Linked DNA regions of Sus scrofa. The main gene of each other region encodes a partner of the protein of the gene in region 2 in a complex. Links are inferred from orthologs where the notes say so. Each region holds a gene or a part of one and is shown on either strand. Other genes may lie near its edges.

The links.
Region 1: the proteins of IL22RA2 (region 2) and IL22 are in contact, whole or in part, in a crystal structure (PDB 3G9V), measured with the Homo sapiens proteins. The link is inferred for Sus scrofa from reciprocal best matches to the Homo sapiens genes IL22RA2 and IL22. Residues at the interface, in NP_443194.1 of Homo sapiens: Lys65, Ile66, Tyr99, Gly100, Gln101, Arg102, Trp104, Gln128, Glu129, Pro130, Tyr132, Met148, Pro150, Arg151, Thr153, Trp155, Trp156, Glu157, Glu200, Pro246, Met247, Leu248, Asp249, Arg250; in NP_065386.1 of Homo sapiens: Phe47, Gln48, Pro50, Thr53, Asn54, Phe57, Met58, Lys61, Ser64, Leu65, Asp67, Asn69, Thr70, Asp71, Val72, Arg73, Leu74, Lys162, Gly165, Glu166, Asp168, Leu169, Met172, Arg175, Asn176.

Annotation. Positions count from the first base shown.
Region 1 is NC_010447.5:32,601,662-32,605,781, reverse strand, and holds the start of IL22 (interleukin-22), read left to right. Parts: upstream 1-1,274; 5' UTR 1,275-1,315; intron 1,316-1,426; 5' UTR 1,427-1,472; coding exon 1,473-1,658; intron 1,659-2,582; coding exon 2,583-2,648; intron 2,649-2,756; coding exon 2,757-2,903; intron 2,904-3,803; coding exon 3,804-3,995; 3' UTR 3,996-4,120. UniProt on the Homo sapiens protein: Cytokine that plays a critical role in modulating tissue responses during inflammation. Plays an essential role in the regeneration of epithelial cells to maintain barrier function after injury and for the prevention of further tissue damage.
Region 2 is NC_010443.5:27,076,413-27,080,061, forward strand, and holds part of IL22RA2 (interleukin-22 receptor subunit alpha-2), read left to right. Parts: intron 1-1,576; coding exon 1,577-1,712; intron 1,713-3,649. UniProt on the Homo sapiens protein: Isoform 2 is a receptor for IL22. Binds to IL22, prevents interaction with the functional IL-22R complex and blocks the activity of IL22 (in vitro). May play an important role as an IL22 antagonist in the regulation of inflammatory responses.

The DNA.
Region 1 (4,120 bases), on a different chromosome or scaffold from region 2:
TATAATAGAAAATTGGAAAATAAGAGTGTTCTCATCCTGGGCTCACGAACAACCGCAAGCACATGTTTGTAACAGGTCTTGTTTTTATTTATTCTCCCTAACCTTCCCTTTTGCATCTTTCTTCTAAGACCACTTTCCCAAACGCCTCATGTCTTCATGCTGTTCTAACCCTTCATTGTGTCTCCTCGCCTAGGCCTGTGTTATCTCACAAAATGCTCAAGTTTCTACAATTATTCACATCCCTTCTTCAATGCTCCGATTTGAACTCATTGTGAGAAGACAAATGTGATCAAAGGAATTTGCAAAATTCCCATTCCTTCCCTTAGCAATAGATCAATGCCCTTGTCCCCTGCTTCCACCCCGTAGGAGGGTTTCTGTCTAGTTTTGAGATGTTATTTAGAACTCAATGTCTTTTTAATAATTTGAAGTTCACATGTAACCACTCAATTGCCAGATTCTCTTCTTTAGACCTCCATATATATAAAATAAAAAATATTATAAGATGTTTAGAAATATCATTTTGAGACCTGTGTTGTTTACAAAGAATGAAGGTGAAATTTCTAAGGGAACTACTATATCTACTATATTCTAACACACTTGCACGTTAAGAAAAATAGCGATCAGATGGTCAGCCTTAATTCTTCCAAACTTAAATTGATATTGATTATCATGTAATGAAAAAATGAAGGTATAGTATAGTTATTGTGGTCACTTAAAGTCACAGAACAGGAGGAAAATGGTGCCGAGATTAGCCAACCCTGCTATTTTTTTTAAAGGTACATCTTCTTCAGGATTCATATTAAAAACAGGAGGCAAACTTATTTTTAAAAATGGAATTATCTCCAAGCTGTCCTTACTGTTTATTTTAAAGCAGAGGATATAGGGCCCTTATTTTTTATCTCCTCTAATGAGATAAGAATCTATGAAGCTGGTAGGAAAACGAGACCGTGACCAAAATGCTTACTCACTTACTATAGGAGATCAAACACTATTATACTAAATCTGGAATCTACAAAGACAAAACGATTGTTTTCTTTGAAAATATGTAGGGTTTAGACAATTTCTGGGATTTGTCTGTAAAAGCACCTTCCGCACCCTAATAGTGACGTTTTAGGGAAACACTAGCGTAACAAGGTGGGAAGGACGGGAGGTGGTGCTTTGTGGGCTCCTATGGTGGTTAGGTAATTCTCAGAAGACAGCACTGGAAATTAGATGATGCTGATGTCATGTTTTTTCACACACACAATTTGGTGTCCTGGGGGCTATAAAAGCAGCAGCTTCTACCTTCTCATCACAAGCAGAATCACCGAAACAGGTAAGTGCTCCAGCAAACTAGGCATGACCTGTTTGTTTGGTGTGGTACTTTCTCGATACTTAATTTTCTTTCCCTTTGTGTTGTTTCTGTGTCTTGTCCCCTTGATACCAGGTTCTCCTTCCCTCGTCGCCAGTTGCTCAAGTTCGTGTCGTCTGCCATGGCTGCCCTGCGGACATCTGGGAGCCCTTTCCTTCTGGAGACTCTGGCCGCCAGCTGCCTCCTTCTCCTCGCCCTGTGGGCACAGGGAGGAGTGGCTGTGCCCATCACTCATCACTGCAAGCTTGACCAGTCCAACTTCCAGCAGCCCTACATCACCAACCGCACCTTCACGCTTGCTCAGGAGGTACTCAGCTCAGTCTCTCTTTCCTTCACATCGTAGCTACCTGGAACCCAAAGAGTTCTTACCATTTCTTCAGGGCACGTCTAAGATCTTTAAGAAACCAACATTTATCTCTACTGCTAGACCAGCCATCATGTTCTATGGCTCTTCTGAGACTCTTTGGAGGTGGAGCTTTACCAGAAGACCTTCTATTTTGGCCTTTAGAATATGTATATTGAGTTTTACTCGAAAAGGAGTCATTTAGCAGCCCATCTGATTATTCATTTTTCCCTTTACTCTTCGGAGAATTATTTCATTTTCTTTTATTTTTTGAAGAGAAAATTGACATTTATCCTTTTTTTTTCTTTAAACGAAGTTTAGTTGATTTACACTATTTGTTTCAGGTGTACAATGTAAGGACCCACAATTTTTAAAGATTATATTCCAGTTAGAGTGGTTATAAAATACTGGTTATATTACCTATGCTATACATTATACCCTTGTATCTTATTTATCTCTTTAATATAAATATAGTTGATTTACAATGTCTCATTAGTTTCAGGTGTACAGTACAGCAATTCAGTTATATATATATATATGTGTGTGTGTGCTTATATGTATACACATATGTATATACATAGATTCTTTTTCAGATTCTTTTCCTTTATAGATAATAACAAAATATTGAGTAGAATCCCCTGTGCTGTGTAGTAGGTCCTTGTTCATTATCTATTTTATATATAGTATTGTGTATCTGTTAATCTCAAACTCCTAATTTATCCCTCCCCCGACCCCTGAGCATTTTTTCCAACTGATGCACACGTCTGAATTCTTTCTTTAGTCTTTTTGGTGCTGCTCTGAGGAGAGGAGATAGAGTACAACTTTACTTACAGACATTTCTTCTAATGCGTTGATGCCCAGGAACTTAGGTCTTTTCTTCCCTTCCAGGCTAGTTTGGCAGATAACAACACAGACGTTCGTCTCATTGGGAATAATCTGTTCCAGGGAGTCAATGTAAGCCATCACCGTGATGCTATTTGTGCTTATTTGGAGTCGTGGTGGTGATGGGCTGGGGCTTCTGCATGCTGCCTCATGTGACCCCCGCTGTTTCCCTTCCATCAGCAGATGAGAGAGCGCTGCTACCTGGTGAAGCAGGTCCTGAACTTCACCCTTGAAGAAGTGCTGTTCCCCAACTCTGATAGATTCCACCCCTACATGCAGGAGGTGGCGTCCTTCCTGGACAGCCTCAGCAAAAAGCTAAGCCAATGCGTAAGTTCTTCTCCCAGCTTGAGTCCACCCACCCCGAGGGCCTGCCCTCCCTTCCTTCCTCTGTGTAGAGCCTTTTACTCTCCAGCCCTCATTGCCCCTCCTTGTGCAGGCAGCAATAAGTGCCTCAGCAACACCATTCCAGCGAGCATTCAGAATCACAGTTTGCTTTTGCTTTAGTTGAGCCACATTTTGGAGTTTATGATGATGGATATTTGTCCCTGGGGGGAAAAGCAACTCAGGTTATGTGGGATGAGAAACGCATTGAGCACTGTAAGGGAAAAATGCCTTTTGGTGTGAGTGGACCCACCAGGTATAAGTTGATGGAGGGAGGGGATGAGAATGAGAGGAAGAGGAAAGGGAAGATTTAATTCTTGGTGACGGATGGGCAAAGACGCTGCTCTTTTGATATGGGAAGTGCCGAAATCAGAGGCATGTGAGCTTGATGCCTCTGAACATTTAAGACCATGAGAAAAGGTTTGAGTGGAGTGAGCAGAGCAGAGGGGGCCTAGTATTTATTGCAGAAGGCCTGCTGTTCACATAAGATGTTTTGTGTATCTTTCTTGTTCTGAGCACACATTTTTTTGATGAGGTGCAGTTATGGTTTTATTCTTGACAGGATTTGCATAAACCACTTTCCACACCCTTCAGCCTCTGTAGCATTTCCCAAAGGTGAACCTGTGAACTGGGGTCCCATGTAAGTGAAATGACTGGATTTTGGTGTCCAAGGGAATTCAAGAGCTCAGAAAATCTAGGTCACTGGTGAAATCTAGGTCATTGTGGGCGAAATTGCTAAGAACATTAATTCCAGGTGAATTGGAACATACCTCAATTAGGGAGGCTGAGGTTCATAAGGCTCCAATCTAACAATGTTAAAACGTCACTCTGCTTTTCCTTTTGTAGCGTATTAAGGGTGATGACCAGCATATCCAGAGAAATGTGAACAACTTTAAAGACACAGTGAAAAAGGTACTGCTGATTACTCTTAATGCTAACTCACCTGATCTTAGAAGGGACAAGTGTTTTCTTTTCTTTCCTTTCCTTTCTTTTTATCTCCCCACATCACGATTTTTTACTCAATTCCCCTGCCATTGAGTTGATTATTTAGGTGTTTATGTGTGTCGATAGGTCTATTTATTTATAAATCAAAATTTCTAAAATTTGCCAATCAGAGAATTCTAGAACTGGCCAGGGACTTTGGTCTTCTAATCTCCTTACCT
Region 2 (3,649 bases):
ATGTTAAATGTCAATTTTATTCCATAAAAAAGTCAACTGGGTTCTTTAACAAAAAAGGTAGATTAATAAGAGAAAAACACTTCATTAACACATGCATCTCACAATACCAGGGGAAACTAACCTAAGAGAAGCTCAAGATGATGGCTTCGAATTCCAGCTTATGTTGCATCTTCAACAAACAACAATACATCTGCAGAAACAGGACAGGACTATTATATTTAGAATGGATAAGCAATGAGGTCCTACTGTACAGTGCAGGGAACTATATCCATTCTCTTGGGGTAGAATATGATGGAAGATAGTATGAGAAAAAGAATGTGCCTATATGTATGACTGGAAATTGACCCAATACTGTAAATCGACTATACTCTGATAAAGGTAGAATAAAATAAATCATAATTTAAAACCTCAGTTTTGAGTGTTAAGCAACTCTAAAATCTAGCTAATAAAAAGAACCTCTCCAACTGAAAAAAAAAAAAAAAAGCAGGATAGACCAAAGGAAAGTTCTAGGCTTCCAAGGGTGGGCAGTCAGTGGGAGAGTAAATATATGGGAGGAAGCTAAAGAAGTAAGTTTCATTTGCAGATTCTTCTGGTGCCTTCTCTGGGCTGATCAGAGTCTTTCTCCAGTAAAAGGAGAATTTATATCCTGCCTTTAGTCAGAAAAGGGGGGAAGTCAAGAGAGCTTTTTCCGCATTTGCTCCTTCTTAATTGCCTTCCTCTCAAAATAATTTTTATGTCAAAGAGGCATAGTGGGGAGTAAAGTATTCTGGTTTCCTTCAGAATCTAGGCCAAAATTTTGTCAAAGGTCTCTCGCCTCCAATGGACTAAATGCAGATGAGATGGAGCCTCCATGTTGGGTGAATTGAACAAGAAAACTCAAGGAATGCCAGTGTGAAGTTATCCCCCTTCTTACTGATTCCTGTTGAAACTCCTATGAAAAACAGGGACCCCACAGCACTGGGCAGCTTCCCTCCATCGCCTGGACCAGCAAGTATGCTCAGGCACTTGCAACCAGGATGCAGGCAGATAAGAGCATCCATTCAGGAGTGAAACCATCTACATGCAATAAATCCAGGTCATTTGAGAGAGATGGAGTATGATGAGTCAGGATCCAGATGGGCCCAGGGATGGAGAAAGAAGGAACAAGTCCTAGGCTGAGGTCTTGGAGGCAGAATTGCCTCGGTGGAGTGGTAATGCAGGGCCTCCTAGAGAGGTAGGCTCACGGCCTATGTGTGGGCCTTTCATCTCAGTCACCACATTCCATCACCACCAAGGAAGGGACTAAGGACCATTTCTTTTCACTGCTCTGACTCCCTCTCCAGGTTGGGAACAGGGGTGGGAATTTATCACTCAAACTTTTTAGAGTCTGGAACATAACTGTTCTGGAACTTTCTCATGCATCAAAACCATCATATCAAAGATTCACAGCATTGACTTCCGGGCTTCACTTGTACCACCTGCACTCATAGCAAGTCCTTCAGGGAATCCTGATGCAGGTACCACATTGCCAACTATTGCTAATAACAGGGGGTGCTCCTATCAAGGTTCAGTGTTGTTCCTTTTCTTATTATTTTAGAAATTCGGCCAGCCTACAAGTCTCTGAAACCTCAACGAGTCCATTTTCAGTCCCGAAATTTCCACAACATTTTGCACTGGCAGCCTGGAGGGGCTTGTACCAGCAACAGCAGCATCTATTTTGTGCAGTATAAAATGTAAGTAATCTAAAAAGAAAAAAAAAAATGTAAGTGATTTGCGCTTCCTCCAGCTGGTGGACATGGCCACTGAGATCCTGTGTTCTAGAATGTGATGGAGTGTTTAGAGTCTGAGCTTTTTTTCAGTTTCCGAAGGGTTAAGAGGAAACAGAGGCGGGGCCAGGAGTATCTCCCCCGAAGGTGACACAGATTGGATGATCATGTACAGTCTGTTGAGAGAGGTGCTTCTGCCCTCAGAGACCCAGGACCAAAACCTCATAGGCTTAGCCTTCAGCTTCACGACAGACTCACGATACATGTTTTGTCCAGTGAATGTTAGAAGCAAATTGTTCAGCACATAATAGGTGCTCCATGAAACCGATGCGATTGTTAGTTGAAAAAGAAGTTATGGGACACATGGAAGTGAGTGTGTAAATGATAATTTTAAATTTAAAGGTCCTTTTTCTTTTTTTTTTTTTTTAAGACTGGGCTTACTATTTAGAAAATTCCTTTCAAAAAGAATGCTTCCTGTGGGCATGAATGCAAATTGGAATCATGCTCCTTCAGGTTCCTGTGACCTTCAGGCTAATTCTGGTGGATTATTGCCAAAATCCAGATATAATCTACTCTGTTTCTGGATTGAGGCCTGGAACAGAAACTCCTGATTTGTAAATGACAGATTTTTCCCCATGCACACACTGGGGGCAGGGAAAGTTTGGGTGGGAGTTGAGGCTCTTTCCTTTTCTCACATAGTTTGAGATGCTGGCTGAACATGAGACAGGAGATATTATAGTTTAGCTTTTATGGTTTTTTCTTAGAAATTCAGAACATCAAATGCAGCTATGCACCAAAAGAGCAATTTTTATGCCATGAATTCATTCATGTCTCTCCAGCGTGGGGTAGGTCCAAGGTCAGATTTTTCCATTAAATAACCTCTCACCAACTATCTCCAGAAGACAACTATCTCCAGAACAACTATCTCCAGAAGTTTCTCAGTCTTTAACTGCTGCTGCTTTTCTCAACATATTTTGTGCAGCAATGGTACATTTCACAAATCTTCACAATAAAGATTTCTCCACTCCAAATACAGATGTGTGCATCCCTGGAGGTGCTTCCCACACGTGGGGATTAGGGACTGCAATCTTTTTAATCTTACCGTTTAGGCAGAAGTGTAAATAGGCTCTATGTCCAAAGTGGGCTTATTTATAGTCCAACGTAAACAGCGGATTAGGAGTTCTTTTACCATGAAATAAATGAAGATTAAACTTTAGGGCGCCATGGAAGAATTTCACAGTTGAAATTCTTTTTCTCAAATAGAGCTCATGAACCTGTGTAAAATGCAGAATACCTGGATCCATTCCTATGGTGGTATTTTCAACAGCACAGTGCAGATTTATATATATATGTGCATGTGTGTGTGTGTGTGTATATATATGTATTATGTATGTATGTGTATATACATACACATATGTAATACATACATACTCTGTATGTATGTGTATATACATACACATATGTAATACATACATACTCTGTATGTATGTGTATATACATACATATGCATATATATATGGGCCACACTCACAGCGTATGGAATTTCCCTGGCCAAGGATCAAATCCTGCGGGCGATACCTGATCCTCAGCCCACTGCACAGGACTGGGGATCAAACCCAAGCCTCCACAGAGACCCAAGCCACTGCAGTCGGATCCTTAACCCACTGCACCATAGCAGGAACTTCCAGATTCATATTTTTTAAATCTTTCACTTTGGGCCTATCCAGCTCTCATGGGTCTACTGTACCATTTGAATAGGACAATAATTGAGGTATTACATTAAAAAGAAACCATCATTGAGGAAATAAAACAGCCAAGTGCTAAAATAAATAAAGAAAAAGAAAAATAAACCATCATTTCAGCTAAATTCAAAGACAGTGTCTCATCAATAAGTAACAGTTGTG